Linked DNA regions of Rhinolophus ferrumequinum. The protein of the gene in region 1 purifies or fractionates together with the protein of each later gene. This does not show direct contact. Links are inferred from orthologs where the notes say so. Each region holds a gene or a part of one and is shown in the gene's direction. Other genes may lie near its edges.

Evidence for each region.
Region 2: the proteins of CANX (region 1) and PGRMC1 purify together in Homo sapiens (affinity purification with mass spectrometry; 3 studies listed by BioGRID and IntAct, with this or other methods). This does not show direct contact. The link is inferred for Rhinolophus ferrumequinum from reciprocal best matches to the Homo sapiens genes CANX and PGRMC1.
Region 3: the proteins of CANX (region 1) and GBA1 purify together in Homo sapiens (affinity purification with mass spectrometry; 3 studies listed by BioGRID and IntAct, with this or other methods). This does not show direct contact. The link is inferred for Rhinolophus ferrumequinum from reciprocal best matches to the Homo sapiens genes CANX and GBA1.

The regions. Positions count from the first base shown.
Region 1 is NC_046307.1:2,866,555-2,876,866, forward strand, and holds the start of CANX (calnexin), read left to right. Parts: upstream 1-5,278; 5' UTR 5,279-5,462; intron 5,463-8,180; exon of another isoform or gene 8,181-8,310; intron 8,311-10,312. Other genes in the region: CBY3 (protein chibby homolog 3), read right to left, coding at 4,694-4,993. UniProt on the Homo sapiens protein: Calcium-binding protein that interacts with newly synthesized monoglucosylated glycoproteins in the endoplasmic reticulum. It may act in assisting protein assembly and/or in the retention within the ER of unassembled protein subunits.
Region 2 is NC_046284.1:37,650,659-37,661,554, reverse strand, and holds the start of PGRMC1 (membrane-associated progesterone receptor component 1), read left to right. Parts: upstream 1-5,797; 5' UTR 5,798-5,897; coding exon 5,898-6,222; intron 6,223-9,683; coding exon 9,684-9,839; intron 9,840-10,896. UniProt on the Homo sapiens protein: Component of a progesterone-binding protein complex. Binds progesterone. Has many reported cellular functions (heme homeostasis, interaction with CYPs). Required for the maintenance of uterine histoarchitecture and normal female reproductive lifespan.
Region 3 is NC_046305.1:266,877-277,796, reverse strand, and holds the start of GBA1 (lysosomal acid glucosylceramidase), read left to right. Parts: upstream 1-5,821; 5' UTR 5,822-5,891; coding exon of another isoform or gene 5,892-5,919; intron 5,920-10,920. Other genes in the region: protein ENTREP3, read left to right, coding at 528-703, 835-934, 1,262-1,331, 1,595-2,140, 2,731-2,799, 2,911-3,164, 3,259-3,432. UniProt on the Homo sapiens protein: Glucosylceramidase that catalyzes, within the lysosomal compartment, the hydrolysis of glucosylceramides/GlcCers (such as beta-D-glucosyl-(1<->1')-N-acylsphing-4-enine) into free ceramides (such as N-acylsphing-4-enine) and glucose.

The DNA.
Region 1 (10,312 bases):
GTGGAGAAACTGAAACCCTCTTCCAGGGGAATGTAAAATAAAGCAGCCACTTTGTTCTCAAAAAGTTAAACTTACCCTACAAGTCAGCAATTCTATCTTGATGTACTACCCAAACAAAATGGAAATATGTCCACATAAAGACTTGTGTACAGGGGCCGGTCTGGTGGCTTAGGCAGTTGGAGCTCTGTTCTCCTAACTCTGAAGGCTGCTGGTTTGATTCCCACATGGGCCAGTGGGCTGTCAACAAGGTTGCCAGTTCGACTCCTCAAGTCCCACAAGAGATGGTGGGCTATGCCCCCTGCAACTAAGACTGAACACAGCACCTTGAGCTGAGCTGCCGCTGAGCTCCCAGATGGCTCAGTTGGTTGGAGCGCATCCTCTCTACCACAAGGTTGCTGGTTCGACTCCCGCAAGGGATGCTGGGCTGCGCCCCCTGCAACTAACAACCGCAACTGGACCTGGAGCTGAGCTGAGCCCTACACAACTAAGATTGAAAGGACAACTTGACTTGGAAAAAATCCTGGAAGTACACACTGTTCCCCAATAAAGTCCTGTCCCCTTCCCCAATTAAAAAAAAAAAAAAAAGGACTCGTGTACAAATGTTCATAGTATCATTACTTATTATAGCTGAAACCTGGAAACAATCTAAATGTCCATCAGCTGTTCAATGGATAAACAAAATGTGGTATACCCATGTGTGGGGGTCCAGAATGAGCCACCCCAAGAAGTGCCTCAGTGGTATACAGAGTACTTTGAGCTAAAGGCAATTTTAGCTTCAGTCTCAGAAACTTCTGCCCCTCTCTTTTAACTACCTAGAAGAATTTGAATTAGAGGCCTTGTCCATAAGCGATTATCAGAAATAACTTCTTTTGACCTATCTATAGGGCAGGGCAGACTTCTATTTATTGAGTGCCTGCTCTTATCATCCTGCAATGACCCTTTGAGGTCCGGAAGGCACCTTACATCATCCCTTGCTCAGGGTATCTTATGTATCTCAATCTCCCTTTCTATCTCTGAACCTCTCCTGTATATGGGGCTCCTATACATATGTGTGCTTTAAATTTTATTTTCTCTTGCTAATTTGTCTCATGTCTATTTGATTATTAGACCAGCTGATAGAACCTTGAGGGTAGAGGATAGTTTGTGCCTCCCCCACACATGCAATGGAATATTGTTCAGCAATAAAAAGAAATGAATTCCTGATACATGCTACAACATGAATCAACTGCAAAAACATTATGCTAAGTAAAAGAAATCAAATAGACCACATATTGTATGATTCCATTTATATGAAATAAAGAAAAGGGAAATCAATAGACGGAGAAAGCAGTTCAATGGTTGCCTGAGGTTGGCTAAGAGTTGACTGCAAATGGGTACACAGGAACTTTTGGGTGATGGAAATATTCTAAAATTGGATTGTGATAATGGTTGCACAATTCTATAAATTTACTAAAAAGTATTGAATCTTACTTACAGTAGGCAAACTTTATGGTATGTAAATTATATTTCAATAAGGTTTAAAAAAATGATGTAAGGTGTTAAACAAAAAACATTTCATGGCCAAAATCTTTTCTGAAGGAAGGGGTTTATTGAGCCAAAACACTAGTCAGAAAAGGACCAGGTCCTGCGCATGCACTCTGAATCACCAACAGCAGGGCCAGACGGAGAAGGCAAGATGTCTACAATCCTGGGGTAGATGGGCTTTTATGGAAACAGTTTGGGGAAGAAACATGTATGTTGTTTTGAAAGAATTTACATTGGCTTTAGATAAAAAGAGTGGGAGATGGTGACGCGGGAAGAGTTCTGGGTTAGGTGCAGAATCTGTAAGGAAGACATGTTTGCTCCTTTAGACTGATGGTGGGCAACAGTCCAGAAGGTGTAAGCAAGAAGTACTGGTGACTGGACATTCTCTTTAGATAATTGTACAAATAGTCACCTGGAAGTTAATTCAGTTTCAACATATACTCAGGAATGTAAGCAGTTTTGTTGGTTTTGCCCTGCAGTTGTTATTTGATTAATCGCTCTTGTCTCTTCCTTCCACCCTTTAGTGTGCTGTAATTTAATTTAGGACATTTCAGAATTTTCTCCTTGTCAGAGGGCAGAATACAGACAATTTTAGATGTGCAAGATTTCAAAAAAACTAGTACACAGTCTTTCTCAGGAAGCAGCCGGAGGACGTAACTACCAACTGAGGTAGTAGACCTCGAAAAAGGTTATTAAAGGAAAATTAAAACATATGTTTATACAAAGAGTGGTACACCATGTGTATGGCAGGTTTATATCATATAACCAAAAATTGGGTGCAGCCGGGTGTCTATTACCTGATGAATGGATAAGCGAACTGTGGCACATTCATAGGATAGAATATTACTCAGGAATTAAAAGCACAAATGATTCAAAAGCAACAAATGGCATACTTGTACAACAGAATGTTACTCAGGAATTAAAAGCATTCAATGTTAACATAGATGAGGATCTGAAAGGTGTTGCAGTTTCTTTCCCTTCACTGGATCTTCAATGGCACCTTTGTTAAGCTCAACAAAACTTCAGTTAACATGCTGGGGGCGTGGAACAATATATTGCATGGGGGTACCCAAATCTGAGGTCAGAAATGAATGGATCTATAAGTGTGGTTATGGCAAAATCAACAGGAAGTGAATTGCCCTGAGATAACACTTAGACTGTTCCGTCTCATGGTAAATATGGCATCATCTGCATGGAGGATTTGATTCATGAGATCCATACCGTTGAAAAACCTTCAACTTCCTGCGGCCTGCAAATTATCTTTTCCAGGAGAAACCGGATCGACAGGTTTATTAGAAGGATGAACTGAGATGATTACCATGATTATTTTTGTAATTTGGTCAGTTAATAAACAGTGACTGCTTTCAAATTGAGAGGAGAGGAGAGGAGAGGAGAGGAGAGGAGAGGAGAGGAGAGGAGAGGAGAGGAGAGGAGAGGAGAGGAGAGGAGAGGAGAGGAGAGGAGAGGAGAGGAGAGGAGAGGAGAGGAGAGGAGAGGAGAGGAGAGGAGAGGAGAGGAGAGGAGAGGAGAAAGGAGAGGGGAAGGGAGGAGCGGGGAGGAGAGGAAGGAAGGAAGGAAAGGAAATCTTATTTCTGTCCTTGGAAGTTTGTCCTTGGCTTCCGCCTTTGAAACATTATGCTTTAGCTGAAAAATCCCTGGCAGGATCCTTTGCAGGTCTTCCAGTCCTGCACTGTCTTGAGCCTGCTGTGTCTTGAGCCCAGACCCAGGATCCCCAGGACCAGCCAAGCATGAATTCCCTCTTTTTGGGGGCTCCACACTTCACCTCCCATCACTTAGGCTCACACTCTTTTTTTTTTTTTTAAACTTTTATTTATTTGTGTTTTTCCAGGACCCATCAGCTCCAGTAGCTGTTTCAATCTAGTTGTGGAGGACACAGCTCACAGTGGCCCATATGGGGATCAAACCGGCAACCTTGTTGTTAAGAGCACTGGGCTCTAACCAACTGAGCTATGCGGCCGCCCTAGGCTCACACTCTTAGTGTTGGCTTTGGTTGCTCTTTCCCTAGCCCCTGAATGCAATGGACCGTTCTTTAGCATCGACAGTTAATGCTTTTGTTTCCATAAACCTACCATTTCCTAATCCTGCACTTTAATCAACTGCAAAAAGTGGCTTCCTACCCAGCTTCACAGCTGCTAGTCTGTCTCTCTTTCAGACCTCCCTGAAATAATATTAAAATAATAATTCAAAAACAATCTAAATTGTGATCCAAATCTAAAAACTCTCCCTACAAATCCTTGGCTAGGCCTTCAAGGTCTGCTCCTAACCAGCTCTGGAGCTGACTTTCCTGAGCACCTTTCTCCAGTTCAAACACTTCCATACATGGTGTTCCCAAACACACGATACCCATTTTCCTGCCTTTCCATATGCTGTTCCCTCATCTAAAGAAGCCTTCCTCCAACTCTCCACCTATAGAAATCCTGCGTATCCTGCCAAGCCCAGCTCAAGTCTTACCTATTTCCCTGTCCATTCCAGGTGAAAAGCAGTTCCTCGCAACTCAAAACCCCACCAAATTCTGTTTAGTACCACCATCTTTTAGCATATACCTTTGCTGGAGTAGCTGTTTTGCTCACATACAGTTTCTGTAACTACATTTTAAGCTCCTTGTTTGGAACATGTGGCATCCAGAATACTATGCTGCCTTGAATATCCACTTCCCCGAGTAAACAAGAAAGCAAAACTCCCTTACGCAAATTTGGGGGCTGGGAGTTTAAGAATATTAAACTCAAGTAAACATGCAAACACCACACTCTAACACCTCTTTTCCCCTACTAGGTGGCATGAGGGAATAAAGCTTGTTCTAAGATAGGTAATACACCTATTGATTCTAGTTTTTTCCATTCTAGGAATCAGCCTCTGGGTATCCAAACAAATGGAAGGCAGAGACCAGGACCCATAAAGGTCTAAGAAAACCTTAGGCTACTTCCATTTCCTGAGGCGGCATATTGACCAGTGAAGATGCGCTAAAAGTGGGCTTCAAAAATTGTGTGTTTGAAATCTTTTACCATTGCACCATCCTTTTCTCTCAATCCTGTCGGGTGTCTGTTGTACTAATTGTACTTCAGGAAACATCACAAATTGAAAGTTGAAAAAAACCTTGCATTACAGCATTCTGGACTCTAGTTTTCCATGGGTAAAGTGGAGGCCGCACTCTGCTAGGCCCAGAGCGATGACTCTGCAGGAACGGTGACGCGTGGTTACACAGCGCTGTGCAGGCAACTGCAGGCCGTGCGGAAGGAGCCGGTGCGGGTTCCGCCTGCACCCTGTCCGGGCCTCGCACTCGCTGCAAGGGGAAATGGCCCTTCCCGATGGTCCGCCAGACCGCCCACTCCTTCAGCCGCTTGCCATTTGCCCCCACAGCGAGGGGAACGGCATGCCGGTCCTGGGGCCCGGATCCAGGAACCGAAGGGTCGAAACTACCTTCGGTTGAAACGCCCGGCAGTCTGCCCATTAAGACACCAGGGCAACGGGGCGCGGGAACGCCTGCCGGGCGGGCCCCGCCCCAGGGCGCGCGCCCACGGTTCCCAATCGGCCGTGGCCCGCCCCTTCCCCTCCCGCCCAACCAACAGCCACTTCCTGTCTCACTCCCAGCCAACCCCCACACTCCACGAAGAATAGCCCTAGGGGGCGTATGGGAAGGTGATTAGAGCGATGGCCACACTGACCAACCGCATTCCGGAGCTGGCGCGGTGGGGGCGGAACTTGGCACTAGCCGTAGCTACTCAGGAGCGAGGGGAGGACGTGGGGCCGGGTTTCGTGCGGCGGTGCTCGCTCGCGAGGTGCAGCGGCAGCCTAGGCCTCTTGGTTCTGCGGCACGTGACGGTCGTGCCGCCTCTGCTGCTGTCTCTCCTGCAGCGTGGGGCCAGGTGTGCGGGCAGGAGGAAGTGCGGGCGCCGCCGGCGGTCTCGGGGAGGCTCGAGGTGAGACTGGAGGCCTACGGGTGTCTTAGGGCCTGTGAAGACCCCGGGGGCCTTGGTGCGCGGCCCCGCGGCCGAGGGGTCGGGCGTGGCCGGGGCGGAGGGGTCGGGCTGGGTTTCGAGGGCTCAGGCCCGGCCCGACGCTCGGCTCCGGCCGTGTGGGGCGAGCCTGAACCTGGGCCGCCTTGGTTGGGGAGCCAGGCGCAGGCCGCGCCGCTGGGGTTGGGAGGCGTGGCAGGTGCCCTGAAGCCTACCTCGACCTCAGCGAAAACCAGCTTCTTTCTATGGCTTTGCTTCCAGGGCTTTCTCAGGCCTTTTGCTGGCTGCCTGAGAAGCCTCGAGGTGGGCTGGAGTAACCGGCTATAGATCTGGAGTGGGATCGGGCTTAGTCACTACCCTTAGTACTGGGAAAGGTGATATCGGACCGACAGACAATATTTAGGACTAGTGTTACAGGTTCAATATTTGAAAATAAAACCGCAGGGCGAAGACTGGCTCCTAGCACCCTGAAGAGAATGTGCTAGAACACGCAGTGGTTGAAAAACTTGTCTTAACATTTTTACCTGTTAGGGGGTGGGGTGTAATCCAATCGCAAATTCACCGGACATTAAAAGCAGGGAAGCACCCAAAAGCTCACTGTGGGCAGGTCGTTTGATAGTGGAGGAACAGGCAGGCCCGAAGCCATGAAATGACTGGCCCAAGGTCATGCAGTTAATTTTATGATCACATTGGGATTATAGTTGAGGGCTAGGCAGTTTTGGTATTAAGGTTAAGGCCCTGTTGCATGGCCTTCATCAGCCGTTTGTTGCTGTGTGAACTTGGGCAATTTACTTACCTTTTGTACCACGTTTCTCCCCAAGTGATGGGTATACTAATACCTGTTGGAGTTATTAGAATTAAATTAAGATGTGTATAAAATAGGACAAAGATGTCTGATACATACTAACTACACAGCAAATTACTGCAATAAATTATAGTCTGATGCTGTTGGTCCTCCACACTGACAGACATCCTACTCTTAAAGTTGGTTAAGTCCTGTTTCCCAGGGCCTGCAGTCATATTTATGGCAATGAGAGGAAAAAACTGGACCTAGTGGATCAACTGCTAAGCATGACACTGAATGCTGGTTGAGGGAAGTTAAACTGAGCTGAATATTAAAAGCTTAGGAGGACAAAGGTGAGCCACAGTTAAGTCTCATTTAGGAAATGGAACATTTTGCTTGATATTTTTAATAAGTAAAAGTTTTTTTTTAAAGGGAAGAATTCTGTTGATATTTAAAACCGTTCTGTAGCTTAGTCTTTTTCCAGCAGTGTCTGAGGGTCATGAATAGAATCACTGCCATGTTGTACATACGTTATAATTATACTTAGAGCAGAGGTAAAGAACCGTGGGAGTTCTGTGCTCCAACCCCGGTGCACAAGCAAACAAGCCGGGTAACGATCATAGAAAGGCTAGGGTGAACTGCACTGGAGTGAATGTATCCTGCAGCAAACATTTTCTGACCTGTTTGAAAATGGGTGTCAGCATCCCTCTACACCTGACTATCTTATCTTAACTCAACAGTTTCAACTAGCACATTATCTTCAAGGACCACGAGCGGTAAACGTTTTGACAAGTTGTTGCTGCAGTTTTGGCAATCAGGCTATTGCATCCTTTTTGTTACAGAGTTCACTATGCCCCGCAAATAGCTTAAAGGGATGAAGTGACAGTTGGTAAGCATCAGTGCATGCTCAAGAGACTTGTATTCCAGGCCCAGCATGGGTAACTAGCTTATGAAATACTTCGGTTAAACATCTTTAAAATGGAAATGAGAAGTCTTCTGTCTACCTTACCATTAGGGGGCTATTGGGAGGGACAGCTAGGATGACGAACATGAAATTACTTTGAATAGTGTAATGAACTGTGCAAACAGAACTGGCAGCTCAGAACAATTCCTAGGAAATACTAAAAGTGCCTGAACAGAGTTGTAAACTATGTGTAGCTTGCTGTTGAACTTTGTCAGGAAAGTGCTGGTTAAATGCTTTGTTTACTGCAACATAATGTACTTTTAAATTAAGCTTAATACTGAGCTATGAAAAGTATTTGGAGAATTTTGTTTTCTAAAGAATTTAGACGATCTTCAGTATATTTTGAGTGTTCACATCTTAAAGCTATGTATTTTATAACGAAAAAGAATGTACTATGGAAAAATCAATTCTCATGTCTGAAAAACAAAATTCAAAACTAAAGGTAGTATGAATCTCTTTTTAAATGGATGAGCATTTACAATAAAGACCACTTGGAATTTTATATACTTTTTCCCCTTTAAGTGCTTTTGTTTTTTGACTAGCACGTGGTAAAATCAGAAGGCACAAAAGGGTAGTAAAAGTAAAACAGTTTATCTGTGACCGGAATCAGATGTCTTTTAACTGCTTCCTTTCTAGTCTAAGATTGAACAATTTTTTATTTGCCTTAAAACTCTAGAGCTTTAGAACCATTAAAATTTAAATGGCATCCCTTGGCAACCATAGTAATAGAGCTCACTGCTGGTACTGAGCATATGCTGTAAGCTGGGCACTTTCGTAAGTGCCTCCCATGCATTTTGTTTATACCACAACCCGAAGAAGTATACAGTGATGTTATTCTCATTTTAGAGTTGAAGACATTGAGGCCCTGAAATGAATAATTCACCCAATATGCCAAGTCACTACCTAAGGAGTTGATGAGTTCCTGCTCATAAACAATACTGTGTGTCTAACCTGTGTCCTTGGACAGTTTGTGTGACTTCTCTTAGTCTTAAATTCGTCCTGTGTCACATGGGGATGATAGAACCTCCTGGGATTTTCGTGAGGATTAAATCAGACAACCTAAGGTATTTAAACCCAGAAAGACTTTAAAAAGATGAATGGGTAGCCTACATGAAAGACTGCCTCCTCACCTTTTGTTACACACTTCCTTTAAAAAAAAAAAAAATCACCTTTTTTTTTTAAAAAAAAACAAACAAGAACATTAGCTAGGCCATTTCTTCTGTTCCTCTTTCTAATTTTTCATAGATTGAAGGAATTAAAGTTGGAATTTATTAACAGAGTCCCACAAGGAAAAGCCCAGAGCCAAATGGCTTCACTGGTGAATTCTACCAAATACTTAGGGAAGAATTAACACCAATCCTTCACAGACTTCCAAAAAAGAACAAAAAAAGAACAGGGAGAACATTTCCCTGCTCATTCTGTGAGGCCAATGATTACCCCGATACCAAAGCCAGATAGACTTCACAAGAAAAGAAAGCCAAAGCCATAGACCAATATCTCATGAAAATAGATGCAAAAGTAGACACAAAGATAAAATACAAACATTTTTATTTAATAAACTTAAAAATAATCTGAACCTCCATTTGTTTTAAAGATCTCTTTCTTTAACAATTTAACAGAATTGTTTTTTGCTTTAATAGGCCCCTTCAATAAGGGACCCTTAATTGAGGATAAAGCTTCTGCCTTTGAAGGTGACAAATTTAATATTTCTTTAGTGTTTGCCCATTCCTAAAGTTGATCTAAGTAGTTGTCTGAATTTGCTAAAATTTGATGCAGAATGTGTCTGTTTCTGTTAAATAGAATATTTTGTGTTCAATTGAAGTTTCATGTACATTATTAAATGTGTATAGTAAATTAATATGGACTGTCTTTTTTAGAATGTGTGCTGCGAACAGAATTATTAACCAAAAATAAATTTAGGAGAATTCATAAAGAAAAGTAATTTGTGACAAAGCGGCGGGCGGGGGGGGGGATCGATAAACATGGACATTTCCATATCCAAATGTTAAGATTGTATGTGCACTATTGCAAGGAAGAGTTAAAGAAGAAATCCCATAATGTAATTGCAGGAAAGCGAGTTTTTCTTGTTATGCAAAATCATTCAGTTTTATTTTTTTGTTTTTTAACTTTTATTTATTTTAAGTGTTTTTCCTGGACCCATCAGCTCCAAGTCAAATAGTTGTTTCAGTCTAGTTGTGGAGGGCGCGGCTCACATTGGCCCATGCAGGGATCTAACCGGCAACCCTGGTGTTACGAGCATCGTGCTCTAACCAACTGAGCTAACCAGCTGCCCCCAAAATCGTTCAGTTTTGTTGAAATATGTTGGAGGAGTAGGCAGGCATATTAGACCTTTTGGTCCAGTATGAGAATTGAAAATGGACTTACTGGTTGTACTTCTCTGCATCAAAGAACAAACGACTTGGGTATATCTATAAAGTACTAGATTCTGATATCTATCTGATAAACTTTGTATTATCTTTGTATGTTTTCACAACAAGCCTTTGAGTCAGTAATACTATTATCTACGTAACATAGGGCAGAAGACTCTTGGAAGTTCAGTAAGCTGACCAAAGCCACAGAGAGGAGCAGGAGAGTCAGGGACCCAGGTTTCTCTGATGGGACAGATTATATACATATATATCATACTGCCTTGAGTATAAGGAACTAATTTTCTGAATCATCAGTTTTAAAATAGGAAACTTCCATCTCCAGAACTCAAGATAAAGTCACTCTTTTGAGTTAAGAGTGGATTGAAATTAAGAGTAGATTAGATGCTTTTGAATCCTCCTGACCCTCCGATTTTGAGCGCTGGGCTTTTTGCCCTGTCCTTGGGAAATTGGGAAGCAAGTCAGAAATCATTTATATTGTAAGTGTATATTATACATGTGCATGTGTTTGGTTCCCATTTTCTTGACTTTGCGTACATTTGTCCATGTGATCCCAGAAGGTAGAGATTGATTTGGGTATAGGTAGATAATTTAATTACTAAAAGCAAAGCCCTTATTAACTGGAAGAAAGGGAGAAAGTCTTTACCTCTTCAAGTTTAAATTTTTAATCCAGCTCACA
Region 2 (10,896 bases), on another chromosome or scaffold:
CTTTTTGAGGGGTGTAAATGTCTAATTATTACATTGTTTTGTTCACCTAAAACTAATTTTTAAAAAAAGCAGCACTGTAAAAAAAAAAAAAAAAGCAGCAGTAAATGCAATAGGAAAAAAAAAAGCTGGGGAAAGGAATGGAGAGTAGTGGGAGGATGTTTTGAGATTTGAAAGCAGTGAGAGAATGATACATAAGAATAGTTGGGGAAGAGCATTCCAACAAAAGAAATCACAGGTACAAAGGAACTGGAATATACCTGATTGTTCGAAGGCCAGCAAGGAGGTCACTATGACTAGAGTATAGTAATGGAATGAAGTGGGAAACAAGGTCCTAGAGTCCTAAAGGTAAGGGTAGGGTGGGGTGGATCAAATCCTGTAGGTTCTTGTAGGACTTTGGGCTTTTACTATGAGTGAGATGGGGAGCATCCTTGGATACTTAGGTGGTTTCCAGGTTTTTGCTATTATATCATGCTTTGTGATTTTTCTATACAAATATCTGTTCATATCCCTGAGTACTTCCCTAGCAAAAATTTCTGGAAGTTAGATTCCTTGGTCACGGGTTATGAATAATTTAAGACTCTTAATGTATGTTGCTGAAAGGACCCACTCACAATGTACTTTAATTCAACAAATATTTATTGGTCACCAACTACATAGCAGACATGGTCTAGGGGCTTAAATAAATTGGTGAACAAAATTAATCTTTCATTCTAGCAATTTCACTCTCACCAGCATTGTGTCAGAGTTCTTGTCTTGTTACATACTTCCCAACATCAAGTATTACCTTTCTTAAAATGCTTTAAGAAGCCAAAGGCAAAAAGAACACTTCAGTAATTTGAATGATGAAAATGGTATTTTGCTATTATGTTCCTTTGGATTTATTTGATTACTAGGGAGGTTGAATTACTTCCCACACATTTTCTAGCTAATCAGCCAATTGTGCTATTTCTCCTTAAAAGCTCTTAAAAATCTTTGAAAATAATTTAAAGGAGGCAGGAAGTTTGGAAACATTAAAAGACTTAACGTACATATCTTGGGAAATAAGTAGTCCCCAGGTCAAATATATAGGCTTTCGAAATTGATTTGAAGCCAAAGAACATGCAACTTTCATGTTTTGAAGTGGTTTTTTTAGTCGGGAGCACCTTGCTTACTTCCAGAGAACTTGAGAACTATCATTATGGACAAGACCTTTCCACCCAATATTCTGACATGAGCCAGACTGGTGGGATGCTTTTATTCAACAATCTCAACATCGCAGTGTTACCTAAGATCCCACTTTACTTAACATCAAGTCTGGTTTTAAAGCATTTATACAAGGTCTAACAATTAATTTCATAAACTCATCCCAGAAAAAGTGCTACATCACTCATTGCTGAATATCACTACAGTCACCTTCGACGTACTCCCCTTGGGAAGCTATGCAACAACACCAGCGCCTAGTCCACCCTTCAAAACAATTTTGGGACTCTTTTTCTGGAGTGGCCATCAGAGCTGTCATCGTATTATCCTTGATGTCCTGAATGTCATCAAAATGTCTTCCTTTCAATATTTCCTTATCTTCAGGTAAAGAAAAAAGTCATTGGGGGCCAGATCAGGTGAGTAGGGAGGGTGTACCAATACAGTTATTTGTTTACTGTCTAAAAACTCCCTCACAGATAGTGCCATGTGAGCTGGTGCATTGTCGTGATGCAAAAGCCATGAATTGTTGGCGAAAAGTTCAGGTCTTTTTCATCTAACTTTTTTATGCAGCCTTTTTAGCACTTCCAAATAGTAAACTTGGTTAACTGTTTGTCCAGTTGGTACTAATTCATAATGAAAATCCCTCCAATATTAAAAAATGTTAGCAACATTGTTTTGACTCTTGATTTGAACTGACGAAACTTTTTTGGTCGTGGAAAATTGTCTGATTTCCCTTGTGCACTTTGATGCTTTGTTTCAGGGTCCTATTGCTACACCAGTGATAACATGGCCCAAAACATCACCTTGCCTCACCAAAAGGTCTTGGCAAACTTTGACTCTCCTTTGCTTTTGTTCATCAGTGAGCTCCTTTGGGATCATTTTTGCACACACCTTTCTTATGCCAAGATTTTCAAGTAAGATTTTCCTGTTTCTCTATCGATGTTTCCGTAGTCTGCTATGCTTCTCACAGTCAGCTGACAATTTTGATAAACAATTCGATGATTTTTTGCTATGTTTTTGTCAGTTCTGTTCGTTACTGGCTGCCGTGACCTCTCTTCATCAGTGACTCATTTTCTCCCCTCAGAAAAACATTTAATCCATTGGTACACTGCTGTTTTCTTCATGGCATTATTCCCATAAACTTGGACTAATATGTCCCTGATTTCACTTCCACTCTTGCCAAGTTTAGCAAGAAATTTAATGTTTGTTCATTGTTCTAATTCAAGCTCAGACATTCTCGCAACAGCACACAAAAACACACAACAACAATAATGAACGCCACTCAGCAAGACACCGCCACACGTCAACACAAACACAGCTGCGAGACACTGACATACCAAAGTTATGAAACCTTACCGAGCTGTTTGTACAGTGCTGCCAATGTAAGCACACAGTGTCAAGTTTGCGAACTTAATTGTCAGATCTCGTACAAGAGCTATCATACAGTATTTGTCTCTGTCTGACATATCCCCCACTTTTAATAGTGGTTACCTTTGAGGAGAGAGAATCAGGGGTGGGGAAAGGGGCTTTAATTTACCTTTTGTATCTTCCCATAGTTTGAATTTTTTCACCTTAAATGAATATGACTTTTAAAAAATTCCAACAGGGGTTATCTGGGTGGGAGCTAATGGCTTATTCTTATTTTTTACTTTGTATCTCTTTATTAGAAAAAAACTGATGAATCATTTATTATTTTAAGTACAGCATAGGGAAGGTAGTCAATAATATTTTTATAACTATGTATGGTGCCAGATGGATACTAGGCTTATTGGGTGGACCACATTAGAAGTTATATAAATGTCTAACCACTAAGATATATACCTGAAACGAATATAATACTGAATGTCAACTGTAATTTAAAAATACAAATAAAGAATTCCCCAGTTTTATAAGTAAAAATCTGTGTGTGTGTGTGTGTGTGTGTGTGTGTGTGTGTGTCTGTGTCTGTGTTTCATATGTCTACAGGAATATAAACCAAACTGCTAATGTGCAGGCCGGATCTAAAGATTGTTTGGAGAGTTGGGAGAGGGAGATGAGTTTCATTTTTTACTTTATACACGTACATATAAAGTTTGTTATAGTAAACATGTATTACCATTCTACATTTTTTTTCAGAAAAGGAATAATAAACCATTTTCCTCCCCGAAGTTAAAAGGGCATGTGCTTATTGTGGAAAATGTGGAAAAGAATAAAGAAGGAAGTAACAATCCCAACAGTTAACATTTTAGCATGTTTCCTTTCGTGCTACCGCTTACTCATTTTTTGTGGGGTTTTTTTTACATAGTTGAGTTCATACTGTATATAGTTTTGTATCCTGTTTTGCTGCTTAAGATTAAAACATAAATACACGTATTTTCCCATGTCATGATAATACTTGGATGACTGTATCATACACCATTTAATAGTTCTGTCACAATTGAATTCGACTAATTAGGTATTTCTTGAAATTGAACATTCATGTTATTTCCAGTTTTTCCATATTAAAAATGATTCTCTGATGAGCATCTCAGTAATAAAATTTTTGTCTGTATTTCTAAGTGTTCCCTTAGGATAGATTCCTAGAAGTGGAATTACTGGATGAAAGAGCAGACTTCTAGAGGTGGGATTAATTGATAGAAAATATTTTTATGGATAACAAAAGGTTATACCAATTTTTACTCCTCCCAACGGTATGACAAGAGTCTCACCACTCGCTTGCCAGCATTGTATACCATCCTTTTTTTTTGCTTTTATCTTTCTTATAGGAACGTTGAGCATGACAGCGGTATCTCCATTTTTTTCTTTTTTTTAATTGTTTTTTAAATTTATTGGGGTGACAATTGTTATTAAAATTACATAGATTTCAGGTGTGCAATTCTGTATCACATCATCTATAAATTACATTGTGTGTTCGCCACCCAGAGTCAGTTCTCCTTCCATCTCCATTTTTTATTGCTAGTGAGACTTAACACTTCTCATATACTTATCCACCATTAGTATCCCCTCCTCTGTGTACTACCTATTTCTATTTTTGCCCATTTATTATCTAGAGTCTTCTGGATTTTTCTTGTCAATTAAAATGAGGTCTTAAAAAATATCAACCCTTTGTCTATTATATTGGTTACAAATGAAAATATTTTTCACAAGTTTGTTGGTTTGTAAAACTGTCTTGGCCATACAATTTTTTAAAAAGATAATTAGATCCTAAGTACAGCTGATTTTGAGCCTGTTTTCCCTTGATTAAATTGAAGAAGTTTGACAAATGATCTAAAACGACCATTTCAGCTTATCGTAAATTTAGATCTGTGAAAAAAAATGCGTGGGCAGATTTAAAGATTGTTCAGCTCACATGCATTTTTAAAGGATTTAAGAAGATGGGATGGGGGCAGGGATGGAAGCTGTTTGTGCCAGAAATTTTCAGAATTCTGAAGTAAGAAGCCTGCTTGTTGGGAGGGGGAGTAAGTTATGTGCAAGCGAACAGAATTCCTCACGGAAAAGTACAGCTCTGGGCTGCAGATGTTGGCATGGCTTGGTTTTAATTATCCCCCCCCCCCACCACCTTTTCTTCGGCTCCCCTCCCCCTGCCACAATAAAGAGGCAGCCAGATTAAGACTCTAAAGGGTATAGACAGCCCTTCCTCCATAAGACCTGCTCCTGTGCAGCCGGCTAGCACACCAAAGGCTGGATGAAATACCTAGGAAAGAAAGGAACCAAATCTACTAGGATCCTTCCAAACTCCCGCCTTCGTCCGGGCTTCAGCACAGGGTTATTATGACTGCCAAGCGTCGTTCGATAGACTTCAAATAGAAAGCTGTCAAAGAAACTTTTCTCATTATTCTGAGAGGGAAAAAAAGCACAACAGAATGTTGCTTGCTGATGCGTTGGGACTGAGCAAATCAGTGATCGCAAAAGGATTTAGTTTTCTGAGAAAGAACCCATAGTAAATCGCGCAATCTGATCGTTTTCCCAGATTTGGGGGGGAGTTGTCAGATGGGGGCCTGTACACTGACTTTAGCTATCCCGGGGGTGTTCACCCCACAGCGTCTGGGGCGGGGGGAGATTGGAGAAGTGTCGTCATGAGAGCGAATAGGGGTTCCTCAGGTGAAAATGGGTAGGCTGGGTCTCAAAGGTGGAAAAAGGAGCTCGAGGAGTAAATTTCCTGTCTTCCAAGAAAGCCTGGAGGCCCTGGGGTATGGCCGGGGAAAGATGAGGCTTCGAAATTGAGGCGACGGAGAAGCCTGAAGCAAGAGAAATGGAGTCGGTGTTTGGTGGGCATGAAGTGACAGAGGGTCTCAGACAGAGCTTAGCAGAACCAAGGCTCTCCAAGGGGGTCTTTGCGCCAGGAGCAAGCGGGGTGCGGAGTAGGGCTACGCCCTGCGTCGCCGTGAGCCAGTTGGCGTGAGGATTACGTCTAGTGGGGACCTGGGCCAAGCAGGTGGAACTGAGGGGTGGACTCAGCGATCTCTCTGGCTGGAAGGCCGGATCTGGCTGGGGGAAGGGAGCTACGATCCACAGGAAGATGGGGGCCCTGGGCTGGGCGGGGCGGGACTCAGCCGGGCCGCGCGCAACAGCGGCTGCGGGAGAGGAGGGGCTGGAGGCTCCGCCCATTTTCCCCCGCCTCCTCCCCTGATTAGTCCTTGTCCGCAGATCCTCAGGCGTCACTAGCTCTCGGAGAGGGAGGAGAAAGCAGCGAGTTCCGGAGCCCTCCCCACCCAGCTCAAACCTTTGCTTCAGTGATCATGGCTGCCGAGGATGTGGTGGCGACGGGCGCTGACCCGAACGAGATGGAGGGCGGGCTGCTGAACGAGATTTTCATGTCGCCGCTCAACCTGCTGCTGCTCGGTCTCTGCATCTTCCTGCTTTACAAGATCGTGCGCGGGGACCAGCCGGCGGCCAGCAGCGACAGCGACGACGACGAGCCGCCCCCGCTGCCCCGCCTTAAGCGGCGCGACTTCACCCCTGCCGAGCTGCGGCGCTTTGACGGCGTCCAGGACCCGCGCATACTCATGGCCATCAACGGCAAGGTGTTCGATGTGACCAAAGGTCGCAAGTTCTACGGGCCCGGTATGGCGGCCCGCCCTGGGGACGCGGAGACAAAGGAAGGGGCCCCGGCACGGGGCAAAATCCGGGAGGGTTGAGGGGGGAGCAGAGCGTCCCCGGGGGGAAGAATGGCGACGAGCCAGTGAGGGCGGGCAGGCGGTGATGGCCCGACGGCTCCCACCGCGGGCAAGGGACGCTCTAGAAGGGTTGCGGGCCAGTGGGAGACGCAGATTCCCGGCCTCGCGCCGCTAACGCGGGGATAAGGGGTGGAGAGTCTGATGCCCTTAAGCCGGGGTGGGTGGATAAAATCGCGAGTCTGGAAACGTTTAGGGGGCACAGCAGAACGCAGTGTTGGGGGATTTTCGAAGGTATTAGGTTTGAGGTTGCCTGAAAGGAGGGTGCGGTGTTGGGCTGAAGAAAGGAAATGTGGGTGTCTTGAGGGAGGCATGGGTGGAGGTCTGGAGGAGGGAGATCCAGCCTTGGAGAGGACGTGAAGGCCGATGACGCCAGGAGTAGCCTTGGTCGGATGTGAGGGTGTGGGAGAAGGGATTACCAGCAGGTAGACGCATCGTGCGTGGGGGTGAATGATGTGAGTGTGCGCTCTGTGTGCATTGTCAGTGTATGTGGCTTGTCGGGCAGTGTGTGCGTGCGCGCGTGCTTGGAGTGTGGCATGTGTCAGGTATGTGTGTGGCATGTGTGTGCGCGCGCTGTGTGTGGCGGACTGGGAAAAGATGGAAGTTGAACAAGGGAGGTTCCGTAGGAGGAAGGGAGCTGGTTGAAGGAGGAATAAAGGCTGGATGTGGTGGACAATGGGAATGTAGCAACATGAGGAGGTAATATAGTAGTTTAAACTACATCAGGAGAGAAAGGACTAGAAGCCAAAAAAAAAATTAAAATGGAGGGAGGGAGAAGTGGGAGGATCCTGAGAAACAAAAGGGGTAGGACTCTGAAGGCTGCTGGGTGTGGGGATTCAGGATAATGAAATGAGGGGTGGATGGATGACTGCTGAGCTGTTGGAGGAGGCAGGCTTGAAGGTGCCTTAGTGATGTGGCTTTTTTTTAAGCCTGGTTGGATCAGAATCACCTGATGCAAATGAGTTAACCTACTGACTCTGGCCTAATCACCTTAACAACGGAAGAGTCTCTGGGGGAGATCACCTGGAATCTGCACTTTTAACATGCTTCCCCAGGCCAGGTTTGGAAAGCTCTGCTTTAAAGAGTATTTGCAGAGGAGGTGGAAGACATTTTATTTTAACTCCTCCAATATGGACTCTTCTAAAATCAGGGAGCTCAGGGAACGTTTCCACATTGACAGCGTTCTCTTCCCTGCTGCTCTGGAAGAGTATAGAAGGCAGCAATCTGGCCATTCCCACTTCTGCTTTGTCTTAGTCTCCCAGTCTGACTCAAAAAAATCAGATATGTTAAAATTTTTAAGGATCTCTCACTTAGCAGTTTTTCCTTGTGGATCATTTAATAGACCTACTTAATGCAGACATGTAACTGTCAAAATAATTTAAAAACCACACCTGTATTGTCACTTACAGCGGCACACCTAGAGGCATTATCAATAAACATAATCGTGTAAATACCTGTTATTACTGAGCTATATCATAAAGTTGTCAAAACACATGCATGAGGCATCATCATATGATTGTAGTTTGCAAAGTCATTGAGAGGAATGTAGGCCTGTGCACAGAGCACAAAACTGGGAGTCAGGCAACCTGGGTTCTAGCCCTTGTTGGATCATTGACTAGCTGTGTGACCCAGTGCAAAGCATTGTTCTCTGTGGGCCTTACCGTGTTTCCCCAAAAAAAAGGACCTAGCCAGACCATCAGTTCTAATGTGTCTTTTGGAGCAAAAATTAGTATAAGACTTGGTCTTATATTAATAAAATAAGACCGGGTATATAATACAATATAATATAATACCGGGTCTTATATTAATTTTTGCTCCAAAGGACATAGTAGAGCTGATGGTCCGGCTAGGTCTTATTTTCGGGGAAACACAGTAGTTGTCCCTCTTTAAAATCATAAGGATGGCCCACTCTTAGTCTCTCCCCTGCACTATAAGCCCGTGATACCATGAATGTATGACATCATGTGGAAAGGATACTTCATGTTACAAAGGATTCCTAAGAATTATACATTTGAGTGCCTATTCTATGCGTGGCACTTTTGTAGGTGCTGGGGCTATGGCAGTGAACAACAACAAAAAACAAATCTCGGCTCATGGAGTTTACATTCCATGGAGTGAATATTCTGGTGATAACATTTAAAAGTTGATCTTAAAGTTAATCTAATTTGAAAAAAGCCTGGTGGATTGAGGTTGCAGGTGACCAGGCCATATTGAAACTTGACCCATTTTCATACTTGACATAGTGGTTACCTACAAACTTTTTAATGTCAGGGTTGCTACTCAGTCAGCCTTTGGGGAAACACACATTGTTTAAAGTACACTGGATTCTTTTTATGTATTTGTGCAATATTTAAATAAGTATAAACATCCACTTTAAGTACCTACAGAATAAGTCACTGCTCTCTTAGACAAAAGTTCAGTATAATATATGTAATAGCATTCTAATGTTTTATAGAATTAGTTTGGGATATTGATTGAGCCTTTATTTCCCATGATAGTTTTAGGATTTTTAGTCTTCTGTTCTTCAAGGCCACCAAAAACAGTGATAGAGCTGATCTCTGTGCTATCTCTTTATTGACAGTGAAGATTATGTAACATGTGGATAGATTTCTAATACTCTTATAAAATGATTTCTCCTGCAGGTGCCACATGTTAATGTTTAATACAGTCTCACAACCAAAAATCTCTATACGATATGTTTGACTCATTAAAACATATTAGAATGCATTTAGTTCATTTACTAAAACCTTAGTGTTTATTATCTTAAGAAACCATAACTTTCCCTGGTGTAGCCCAGGTGCCCAGAACAGAGCCAGGCTTTGGGTTCAATGTCCTAAAACTGAATTCTGACCTGTGGACCCATTATTACCTGGATGGGTGCAATAGTCTTTTATGGCCTTTTTATTAGCTATTTGAAAATCACAGGAAATTAATTATAATGTATAACATTTTGATTTAGTTTTAGTTATTTAAAAGTTTGGTTTTTTTTAATTTATTGGGGTGACAATTGTTAGCAAAATTACATAGATTTCAGGTGCACAATTCTGCACCACATCATCCATAAATCACACCGTGTGTTCACCACCCAGAGTCAGCTCTCCCTCCATCACCATATATTTGATCCCCCTTACCCTCATCTCCCACTAAAAGTTTAATAACAACAGATCTTTTACTATCCACTACATAATGATTAAAGTATCAACATCACTTACGTTTTCCAAATGGAATTGGGTATTCCAAAAGAGGGCTTTCTATGTTGATGGGTAAGGAAGCCATTTTCTGTGCATGAACAACAGAGAACTTGACTGTCTAATAAAGAATTGGTCTTTGGTTTTGTTTTGTCTTTAAAAGAGGGGCCGTATGGAGTCTTTGCGGGAAGAGATGCATCCAGGGGCCTCGCCACATTTTGCCTGGATAAGGAAGCCCTGAAGGATGAGTACGATGACCTTTCTGACCTCACTCCTGCCCAGCAGGAGACCCTGAGTGACTGGGACTCTCAGTTCACTTGTAAGCATTTTTTAAAATTGTGTCTAGATCAAATTGTGACCAGTAATGGGATTCACGGCAGTCCAATAGTTATTACCAAACAGCCTGAAACTTGGGAGCACTTTCATTGGCTTCTGAATCTTAGACAGATCAAGTTCATGGTTTGAAATAGTTGCAGAAGTGCTGAGTCACTTGCCATGACTGCATACCAATTTTTAGCTCATCCTCTATGAAAACTTGGATTTGAGAGGTTTGCATAGATTCCACACTAGGATTTGGTGCTTGGTGCAAGGGGGAAAGAGAGCAGCCATTTTAGCTACAGAAAAGGGTTGTCATAAGTCCTTACTTGTAGAACTTGCCGTTTATAAGCAGCCCACATTTTTGTTGAAGAATGGGAGACTTGTATTCTACAGAACAGCTTCTCTGAATTTAATTGAGCCTAACTATAGACTTCATCTACAAATGATGCTTATAATCTTCCCAGCAACAATGGTGTCTGCATTTTTAAAAAGAGAAAAAAGAAACACTTGTTTCCTGCCGTCTGCTATGGGCTGAGGTTAATTTCAAAGTCTGAGGAACTGGCTTTTGTCAAACCCAAGTGTTTATCCCTTTAGCAATATTTCATTGCTAAGAATTTGAATGATAATCTTTCCCGGCTTTGAAATAGTATATAAAAACCACGATCATTTCTTTAAGGAAGATTTTTCATTCAAAATGTGGTTTTCTGTTCCCTATAATCAGTTAAATATTACTTTTGGGTAAATTCAACCATTTTCCTTGAAATTAACACTTCAGAGAGAGTTCTGGGTTAATAATTAGGCAGAGATGGCTCTACCTTTAGAGTTTGGATCCTAAGCAGACTATAGCTTTCAAGTCTAGAGGCAAGTCTTTTTAGTTGAAAAACATAATTAGCTATCTAACATAGTCCCTCATTTTTTTCATCCTCCAGATGCCTTTGTAACAATAGAGTCTTCTATATGAAACCAATGAGTTGTAACTTACAACTTACAAAGCTCTATTTTCTAGGGCTTGCCTTCATCGGTGGGGTAAAAAGTGGGTTTTCCCTGCTTAAACTAAG
Region 3 (10,920 bases), on another chromosome or scaffold:
AGGGGGGGCCAGGGTCAGTGCCAAGCAGGTATGATGGGGGCGGGGACTCCGGTCGAGGGGATGTAGCTAAAGCGCGGGCCACCTATGAGGCATGTCAATTATTGGAGGGATGCTTGGGTGACCAAAGAGGGGGTCGAGGAGGGGAATGACAGGGAGTGAAAGAAGTATGTCATGCCAGTCTGGGGCCAGGGGAGGGGCCTTAGAGAGTGAGACTGGAAGTTGGGCGGAGTCAAGAAGGTCCTCGATGGGGGTGGGGATAAAGGGTTGATGTTCTGGAGGTGACAGAAAGTACGTGGTGATTCTGGGTGCAGACCGGGTCATAAAGGAGTCGTTTCTAGATGGGCAGGGCCAGAGCTGGAGGTCCTTGGTGGGGGCAGGGTTAGAGGAGGAGCTTGTTCCGGCTGAGGGAGGGGCCCAAACTGAGCTTCTTGGAGGGGGTGGGGCCAGAAAAAGGTAGATAAGAGAGGAGTTTGGGAGCCAGAGTTGTGTTCCCAGAAACCAGGCTTGCTGACCTGCTTGCTCCCCAGCAGCTGGCTCCTGAGCGCTCAGTCTCAGGCCCCCTGGGGCCTCTGGCCTGTACGTCCTCGCCCCCAGCCCCTCTCCTGCACACCATGCTGGACTTGGAGGAATTTGTACCGCCTGTACCCCCACCTCCCTACTATCCCCCAGAGTACACCTGCAGCTCAGAAACAGATGCACAGAGGTGAGGCCTGCTGGACCCTGCTGAGGGAGCTACGGCAGGGGGAGGGGGCGGGGCTGCAGCCTGGGATGGTGGGGAGGGTCTTTGTGGAGCAGGAGCTCTCCAGGCTTTGACCCTCTCCCCTCTCCTGCCAGTATCACCTACAATGGCTCCATGGACAGCCCAGTGCCCTCGTACCCTACTGATTGCCCCCCTTCTTATGAGGCCGTCATGGGGCTACGAGGAGACAGCCAGGTAAGAGCACGGCTTGGTATGGGCGAGGGAGCCAGGGCTAGAGCCCAGAAAGCTGAGTGAGTTGGCCACAGTCACTGGATACAGATAATAGTTCTCACGATCCTATAACACTAGTGCACCACTTTGATCTTCCCTAGAGCGCAGTGAGGTGCGTGGGGTAGGAACTATTATTTCTATTTTACACATGTGGGAACTGAGGCCCTCATGAGTGACTTGTGCAAAGGGACACAGCTAGACTGCACTCCAGGCCCCCAGTGCGCTGTCCAGCACATGGGGGTGCCGTGTCAGTGTGTGGGGCTGGACTCTTGACTCTTGTGCCTTCTGCAGGCCACTCTGTTTGACCCTCAGCTTCATGACAGTTCCTGCATCTGCGAGAGAGTGGCCTCCATTGTAGATGGTGAGCAGAAAGTGGTGGGTGGGGGCACACACAAGGGCCGGCCGCCTAGGATAGCAGAGCTGGGGAAGGAGCAAAAAAGGGGGAGAGGAGGCTGAGTTGGTGGTGTAGGGACAAGCGAGGGCGGTGGCTTCTTGGAACCCTGGACTTACCTGTCTCTTTTGAGATAAAACTGGAGGCAGCGTGGCCCCCCAGAGGCTGGGCCGGAGAAGAACTGCCCAGGCCGGGTGGGGCTGGTGCTACCCAGCGCCCCCTGCCGCCCACAGTGTCCATGGACAGCGGGTCTCTGGTGCTGTCAGCCATCGGCGACCTCCCGGGGGGCTCCAGCCCGTCCGAGGACTCCTGCCTGCTGGAGCTGCAGGGCTCCGTACGCTCCGTGGACTACGTGCTCTTCCGCTCCATTCAGCGTAGCCGCGCGGGTTACTGCCTCAGCCTGGACTGCGGCCTGCGCGGCCCCTTTGAGGACAGCCCGCTGCCCCGACGGCCGCCGCGGGCCGCCCGCTCCTATTCCTGCTCTGCCCCGGAAGCCCCACCCCCGCTGGGTGCCCCAACAGCCGCCCGCAGCTGTCACCGGCTGGAGGGCTGGCCGCCCTGGGCGGGACCCTGCTTCCCGGAGCTGAGGCGCCGGGTCCCCCGGGGAGGCAGCAGGCCAGCTGCAGCCCCTCCCACCCGAGCCCCCACCCGCCGCTTCAGCGATAGCTCAGGTTCCCTCACCCCACCGGGGCACCGGCCTCCTCATCCGGCTCCCCCTTCCCCGCTGCTGCTGCCACGGTCCCACAGTGACCCCGGCATCACCACCTCCAGCGACACCGGTGAGCAGCCCCCCCACCCCGCCCCACCGAGGTTCAGGAGGGTAGGTACTGGGAGGTGGAGGGCCAGTGCTGCCAGAGATCTGGGACACTGTCGAGGTCCCCGAGGAGAAAGGGTGAGTCGCCCCTGCGGCAGACACTTCTCGAGTGTTCACCTCCTAGAAAAAACAACATCAGTATAGCTTTGTGGCTAAAGGGAGCAGGATTTGTTCTTTGAAACCCAATTCTATAGCTCCCACCTGGGCCATTTACGAAGCCTCAATTTCTCACCTGTAAAACAGGTGTCACAATGGTACCCCAACCATAGGTACGGTAGAGTTACTGAGAAATGAGATAACGCGAGGAAAATGCTTAGCCTTGGCCCAGGACGTGCTCACTACCCCCATGTGTGCCCGCCCGCCCCGGGGAGGTAGCCACTGTGAAGGATGCCGCCCCTGTCCCTTTGTCGGTGAACTAACTGTCCCATCTCAGAGCAGAGGGGATGGGGCGTGGGACCTGTGAAAGCGCCTGTGGGCTTGAATCCTCACAGGAGGGTGGTGGGCTGCGTGGGCGTGTCCCCTGAGCATGTCCACTAGGTCCATTTCTCTCCCCAGCTGACTTCAGGGACCTTTATACCAAAGTGCTTGAGGAAGAAGTTGCTTCTGTTTCCTCTGCAGATACAGGTCAGCCATGTGGTCCGTGCCCAGGGGTCGGGGCAAGGCGTGCTGCCTGGCACTCTCCGCACGTGTATCCCTGTCCCTTTCCACCCACAACCTCTCTCTCTCTCTCTGCAGGGCTCTGCTCTGACGCCTGCCTCTTCCGGCTAGCCCGATGCCCATCCCCCAAGCTGCTGCGTGCCCACTCAGCCGAGAAACGGCGCCCTGTGCCCACCTTCCAGAAGGTCCCCCTGCCCTCGGGCCCTGCACCCGCCCACTCCCTGGGGGACCTGAAGGGCAGCTGGCCAGGCCGGGGCCTGGTCACTCGTTTCCTCCAGATGTCCAGGAAGGCCCCAGAGCCCAGTGGGAATGGAGCCCACGGGCATAAGCAGGTAGGCATTAGGGGAGCCTGGGAGGATACCCAGGAAAGCCTGGAGCTGCCGGTTGGGTTGGGCCACACTGATGCCCACTCCTGTGTCCCTTCAGGTGCCCCGGAGCCCGTGGGGCCGGCCAGGCCGAGAGAGCCTCCACCTTCGAAGCTGTGGCGATCTGAGCTCCGGCTCCTCCTTGCGGCGCCTCCTGTCTGGCCGCCGGCTGGAGCGTGGTACCCGACCCCACAGCCTCAGCCTCAATGGGGGCAACCGGGAGACTGGGCTGTGACCTGGGCTTCTTGCCACACTGAACAGATGAATACTGGGGCCGTGGGCACCAGCTGGTTGGGACCAGCAGCCCCCAGCATTCCCTTGCACTGGCTGGCACAAAAAGAAATCCGCTCAACACCCCCCAAAAGAATCCCTTTCCCTCCTACCTCTGGGGGCTCCTGCTGCTTGCCTCTGTTCCTCTGGCCTGGGAGAGCTTCTGTCCTGTGGTGCATGGGTGTTCAGGCTGTGGGGGAGATGCCCCTGCTTACAGCACTGGAGGAGGAAAAGTCCTGACCCCCCAGCACGAGAGTAGCTCTCTTTGATTTGCCAGGGCAACTATGGCCGGACAAGGCATGTCCCGGGTGTCTAAGCATAGGGGGCTGTGTGTCTGCGCAATTGGGTGGTGAGGCATGAAGTCATAAAAATCTGGCTGGCCTCTCAGCTCTGCCACCTCTAGCTGCATGACCTTGGGCAAGTTATTTAACCTCCATTGCCTGACCTGTAAAATATGGTGAGGACAAATGTTTCTAAAGCTAAGAAGCCTTCACACACTAAGCCTTCAATAAATTTCAGTTTTCCCCTTCTCTTCTGGATCATGCTTTATCACCAATGAAATTTGTTCTAGCATCTCTCCTAGTTAAGAAAACTCTGCCAAAACTCGTACATTTCTTTCCAGCTGCCACACTGTATCTCTCCTCCTTTTCATAGAAAAAGGTTTTCTTCCTTCCCTGAACTTACCCCCACAGCTGCTGACTCTACCTCTCCTCAGGCGCTACTCTGACAATTTTCAGTAACCAAAAGATACCAGACCCAGTGAAATGACCGTTTCTCTACCTGCATCTCACTTGACCTCTAAGAAGCATTTACTCAGAAAATCTGCGTCTTTCCTCTTGACTTTTTCCCTTTCTAGTCTTTGAAGACATATTCTCTTTTTCCTCCTACTTTACCCTTTCGTTATCCTTTGCGATTTTTATACCTTACTGGACTGCTTAACTCTGGCAGGCCCCAGGGCTCTCCCCTCGGCCCTTTTCTACTTCCACTCTGTCTGTTGCTGTCTCTACCAAAACCCACGGGCTCCACGGCTTTAAATACCAGCTATGTGTTCACGAAGAACTCCCTCCTTGACCTCTCCATGCGCTCCAACCTCCAACTCGAATCTCTCCTGGGATGTCTAAGGGCATCTCAGCCTCAACGTGGTCACAACTGAACTCTTGATTCCCACCTCCAGAACCTGTTCCTCTTGCAACGGTTCCTTCTCAACAAGTGGCGCCGCCACTCACACAGCTGCACATTCCAGAAGCTTGGGACTCATCCTGATTTCTTTGCCCTCAAGCAACACATCCGATCCTATCCTGAATTCATCCATGTCTCACCAGCTACCCAGCTCAAGCTACCAGCCTCTAAATGGATCTATTTCCATTCTAACAATCCATTCTCCACTCGGCAAAATGATAAGAAATCATGTCACATCAAGGTTCCGCCCAAATCTGATGGCTTCCCATTGTATTTAGAATAATCTCCAAACTCCTCCTGAGACGATGGTCAGCGCCTTTTCGCCAGCTCTTTCCCAAGCACTCAACGCGCTCTCCTGTGGCCACTGCCTTTACCTAATTCGGGTCTTAGTTCCATTCTCACCTTCTCACTGAGCATCCCCACACCCCCACCCCAGTCATTCTCTCACACTGCCACAGTGTTTGGGGGCACTTAGCACTATCTAAAATTACCTTGCTTTCGTCTGTGTGATCCCATGGAACGTAAGCTCCTGAGAGCAAGGACTGGCTCACTGCCCTGGGTCTAACACTTAGTAGGTCCTCAACAAGCTCAAGTTACTTAAGTAACAGAGTGGGGCCTGGAAAGCTTCCCGACCCTATGATATTGGCGACAGCCGCGTGCCCCGCAGGGAAGGAAGGGAGGAAGGAGGGGCGCTGTCCACAGATGGCGGCAGGCTGCGAGGCTTCTTGAATAATTCACCATCATAACAACCCCGCCCCAGGGAGGGTTGGGGTGCGGCCTGGATGACAAAATGAGGTAGGAGCGACTAGAAATTGGTGCTCCCAAAGGGACAGCTTCTGGGCACTGAATGTTCTCTATCCTGAGGTTCTCGAAGGAGGAAGCTCAAGAATCCCGCTCAACTTCCGGGGGCTGGACTCACTGAGGGAATTCAGTCTCCCCCCGCCCAGGACAGCGTGCTGGCGGGTGTGCGCCAAGGCGCACGCGCGCTTCCCGCCGCCCAGCAGACCCCCGAATACGCTTGCGCCGCATCTGGGCTACGGCTGGTCAACGAGAACCGTTCGGCCCCAGGAAGACCAGTAGGGAGCGCGGAAGGGGCCCGGTCCCGCCCCGCCCCGCCCCCTGCGCGTCTCGCGGACGCGCGTCTTGGGGGCGCAGCCTCTCGGGCGCGGGCTCGGCGGAGCCCCCTTCTCCAGCCCCTCCCCCCCGGCTTTGCGGGGCTGCAGTGGGATTTCCCTTCGCCTCCGGATGGGGTTGCTGTTTCGCTTCGCCCACGGTAGGCGCGCTGGATGTAGCACCGTTTGCGTCTTAACTCTCCCCTCCCTGCGTTTGCACTTCTCCTTTTCGTCATCATTGCTATTATTTGTAGGGATGGTCGTAATTTAGTAATGAAGAAGAAGGGACCGAATCTTCGAATCCTCCTCTTGTTTTTTGAGGGGTGGAGTGGGAATAAGGTCTGTGTAATTGATGTATTCTTCAGTCATTCGACACACGTTCAGTGGGGCCCTGGACCAGCGCCCCGCGCGCCCCGGGGATACGCCTGGGAGCCAGGACAGACTGGTCCGTACCCTCCTGGGCTTACGCACCGACCCAACAGCAGGCAAACGAGTTAGCAGGCCACTGGGCGCCGTAACTGACATTAAGCCACTTGTACAATTAATTCATTGTGATAAGAGCTACAAAGGAGACGTAAGGGCTATGAGCTTGTGTTACAGGAGAGGTGTGTGTGGAGGGAGAGAATCTTTTGGAGAAAATGACGTCTGAAGTGAGTTCTGAAAGATGAATAGGCATTAACTAGGCTGAATGGAGGTGAACAGGAATGCATACGGAAGGAAGACCCTTTGCGAGGACTCAGGGTCGAAGGATGGAGAACAAGGGGTCAAGTCCTGTGGCCAAGGGGACAAGTCCTGTGGCAGGTTCCAACTGGCAGCTGGTCTCCCTGTCTTGGCACTTGCCCCTTACAGTCTGATTTCTACACAGCAGCCAAAATGACCTTTTAAAAATATAAATCTGATCTTTTCACTTCCCTGCACCAAACTCTCCAGTGGATTTCCATCTTAGAACAAAATTCAGATTCCTTGGCCACCAGGGCCCTGCAGAAGCTGGCCCCTGGCCTCCTTCTCTAAAGTCATGTCTTACAATTATCCCCCTCACTGGTTCTATCCAGCACGCCTTACCCCTTTATTTTGCTTCCTAGTTCTCATGGCCACATGAGTTTGCCTGGTTTTGTGTCTACCAGCTTCTAGGACATAAGCTCCAAACAGCTAGGAGCTTCATCATCGTATTTGTTGCGGTAGCCCCAGGATCTAGAACAGTGCCCGGCACGTAGTAGACGCCCGTTATTTGTTGACTGTATGAGTTGGGGAGCTCATTGAAGGGGTGCCTAATCCAGCCAGCGGTGTCAGGAAAATGGTACTAATGGCAATAATGGTAAGGCTGAGGCATTCGTGATGGAAAAGAGGAGTTACTCATTTTTTTCAAGAGAGAAAAAGAAAGGACGGGTGGCGTAGAGGAGAGCAGAGGCAAGGTGGAACGCAGCCTATGAAAGGAAATGGGACGCAGCCCAGTGGACCATATGTGCAAATGGAGGGGTGAGACGTGAAGGTGGGACAAAGATCCCCGAAGCCCTCTTCAGGGCAGAGTGGAACCCACTGAAGGAGTGGAGGATGGAGAGTGTAGCTTCGGAATTTATATTTTAATTAGACCATCTAGTTCTTCTTGGAGGATGGATTGGAGGAGAAAAGGGGAGGTTAGGAGGCCAAGAGAGAGGCTTCTGTAGTTCAGGAGAGAAATGATGGGGCGAGGGGGACAGGGGTTACAGTCAGGAAGGAGCCCCAGGTTCCGGGAGGAAGGGCTTCCATTCCTGGGGAAAGAACACAGGAGGAAGAGCGGGCTTGGCTGGGTGAGGGGACGATCTCATGATGGGCCTGCTGAGGTGTATGGGAGACACACAGAGGAAAGGTCTGGAAGGCAGAGTTCTCACGGCCCCATGAGATTGCATTCCACCGCAGGAGAAAGATTGGGGTTGGAGGTGGAGATTTGGGAACCAAAAGCGACTAGTAGGTAATCAAAGCCATGGGGTTGTCTCTTCGGAGTGGGCGTGATTTACGAGAAGAGAAGGCCGAGGATAAAACCTCAAAGAACACCTGCAGGCAGAAAGAGGCGGGGAAGCCTGCAAAGGAGAAGGAGCAGCCAGAAGTGGGGGCGACATCCAACCAGGAGAGGGCAGAGTCATGGGAACAAAGGAGAGCACTTCAAGAAGGGAGGGGTCCTGTGTCAAGTGAGGTAAAAAGTCAGGTGAGAGCGGTTTTGGAGCCGGGAGGGCGGAGTTGGCCTTTGGAGAAGAGGAAGTCTGAGAGAGGACTCGTCGAGTGTAGCAATTCGGTCCAGAAGTTTGGCATGAACAATAACATTACATGCAGTGTTGCATTAAATCCTCCTAACAACCCTTGAGGCAAGAGTTTTGGAGATGAGGAAACACGCTCAAGAAGTCAAGTAACTTCCCAGTATCTCAGAGGTAGGGAGTCATGGAGCGAGGATTTAAATTGTGAAATCCCTCCGGTGTCCATGCTAAAACACCCTTCCCCGTGTCTTCTCCTTTAGGGGACAGGAGAGAAAGGGTGGCGGCCAGAGGAAACAAGAAATGAGGTAGAGGTCTTGGACACACGTCTCCTTTGACTACCGGAGGGAAGAAATAAAGGCTGAATAACTATAACGGTTATACTTCCTGTCTGTCCCCTCAGGCTCAGAACAGTGGGAATGTGCCAGCAGGTCCTGGGTGTTCAGTATTTGAAGCCGTCCTTCCGGTAGCCTGAACCAAGCCCCCTCCACTGGGTCTCTCTCTGACCCTAATAATCATGTTCAGAGTTAGGTTCGTTCTTTCTGAAGTTCATTCTCCTTCAAACCACACCAAGGACGCCCCTGAAACACCCGACAGGCAGGGCCTTGCATAGCGGACTGTGATTGATAACAACCTACTTATTCAGCAAACACTGAGCCCCGAGTCTGTGCTCTCCTCTGAGTGGAATGTTTTGAGGTTCCAAAGAAATAGGACCCATGAAATTTACTCTGCACGTGTTTATCACATTAAGGAAGGCTAAAAATATGCTACTGAAATATCGGGGAGCATATTTCTTGGACTCTTTCAGGGAGCATATTTCAGGGAGCATTCTTGGACATAACGACTAAGAGTGGCTTGGGCTTCAGCGTAGGACGGATCTGAATTTAGGCTTCGCTCTGCCACTTACCTACCTTCTGTTGGTCTCAGTCTTCTCATCTGTAACGTGGGCCCGTCGGGCCAATGCATGTAATAGGCACTCACGAAAGATTGGCTATTATCTTGAGAAAAAAATACAGGATAGCGCGTGAGGTTCAAGTCCTTTCCGTTTGCACTGGGCTTTACCGGGAATGCCGTGGTTATTGTTTAAGAGTTGGTTAATCAAACTATTGTAATCATCGTGTAGTGTATACATTTTCTTAAACTGGCACGATGTTATATGTCAATTACATCTCAATGAAGCTGGGGGAAAACAGAGTTGGTTAATCACATGGATGCAAGAGGGAAGCCATACCCTAGTCAGGGGCAGACAGGGTCTTACTGGAGAAAGGAGTCATTTTGGGGACCAGTCATCAGGAGGAGTGGGGTATCTTCAGATCAGAAACCAGAGCTGAAAGGTCAGGTCGTGGGTTGATTGGTTTATTCATTCATCCATCTGGTATTTTTTGAGCATCTACTATTCTGTGCATGGAATGAGAAAGTGTCTCTCTTTGATTTGACCTTGGAGGTGACAGTGGGACTTGGGGGAGGGGGTGGGCGTCCTCTTTAGGGAGTTGGTTTGAGGCTTAAAGAGCAAGGAGCGTATGACATGGAACCTAACCAGTCTCCAGGGCTGGAGTTTGCTGTCAGAGCCAAGCCGCAGCCTGGCACAGGGCTGGCCCAAGTGGAATCAGAACTCCACTGCTGGGTCAGCCAAACTATTTTTGCACTTCTGCTCTTCGCTTATGTTCATTTCTCAGTTGTCCATCCATGGCATTTAGCTACATCTTTTAAGAAGGGGACAGAGGAACACAGTATGGCCACCTGGTACACCCCTAGTGGACACTGCACTGAGTCCCAGGCGTTTGAGGTGACTCCCTAGGGCAGTGGTCGCCCCCTAGGGGACATTTTGGGAACTTGCGTCTTTAGTGGAGACCACCCTTAAGAGGCACTTGGAGGATTTAATGGAGCCCAGGAAAAGGTAGACGTTCTAGAACATGCAGGACAGCCCTGCACAAGGAAGAATGGTCTCTCATTCTCCTTGACTTTGGACATTTCTGCTCAACAACATATGCAAATATAAAATCAAATATAAATCAGCCGGACTTTATTATGTAATAATGCAGAAAAGATTTACAAGAACTTTTCTTCTGGAAAAAGTCCAATAATTTAGAAGATCATTGTGGAGAAGGAAGCTTGAATAAAAGGCATTGCCTTGAAATCACTGCATCTGCCTACTCAGTGTATTAGAGCATTTCCAACTATGGAATATATTTAGTTGAATATTTTCAACACTGTAGTTGCAGTTCCTGCAAAAGCAATGAACCAACTGCAAATATGTCATAAAATTTTTACTAGCTTAATTGAGGTGAAATTTACAGACTATAAAAATCTCCTTTTAAGTGTACAGTTCAATGATTTTTAGTAAATTTACTGAGTTGTGCAACAGTTAACCTCCGTTGCCACCCCAGTTCCAGGAAACCACTAATCTGCTTTTCTGTCTTTATAGCTTTGCCTATTCTAGAATTTCATATAAATGGAATCATACGATATGTAACCTTCTTTGCCGGGCTTCTTTCACATAGCGTAATGTTTTTGAGGTTTACTCACGGCCGTAGCTTGTATCTGTATTTTGTGCCTTTTTATTGCCGCGTAGTATTCCATTGTATGGAAATACCACAGTTTGTTTATTCTTTCACCAGTGGATGAACATTTAGGTTGTTTCCATGAATACTGCTGCTCTAGAAACATTCACAAGCAAGTCGTCATGTGGGCATGTGTCTTCATTTCTCTTAAGTAAATACCTAGAAATGGAATTGCTGGGTCATATGGAAACTCTAGGGTTATCATTTTGAGGAATTACCAAACTGTCTTCCACAGCGGCTGTACCATCTGACATCCCCACCAGTAACATACGAGCGTTCCAATTTCTCCACATCCTTTCCAACACTTGTTATTGTCCACCTGTTTTATTATAGCAATCCTATGCAAAGTGGTATCTCATAGTGGTTTTGATTTGCA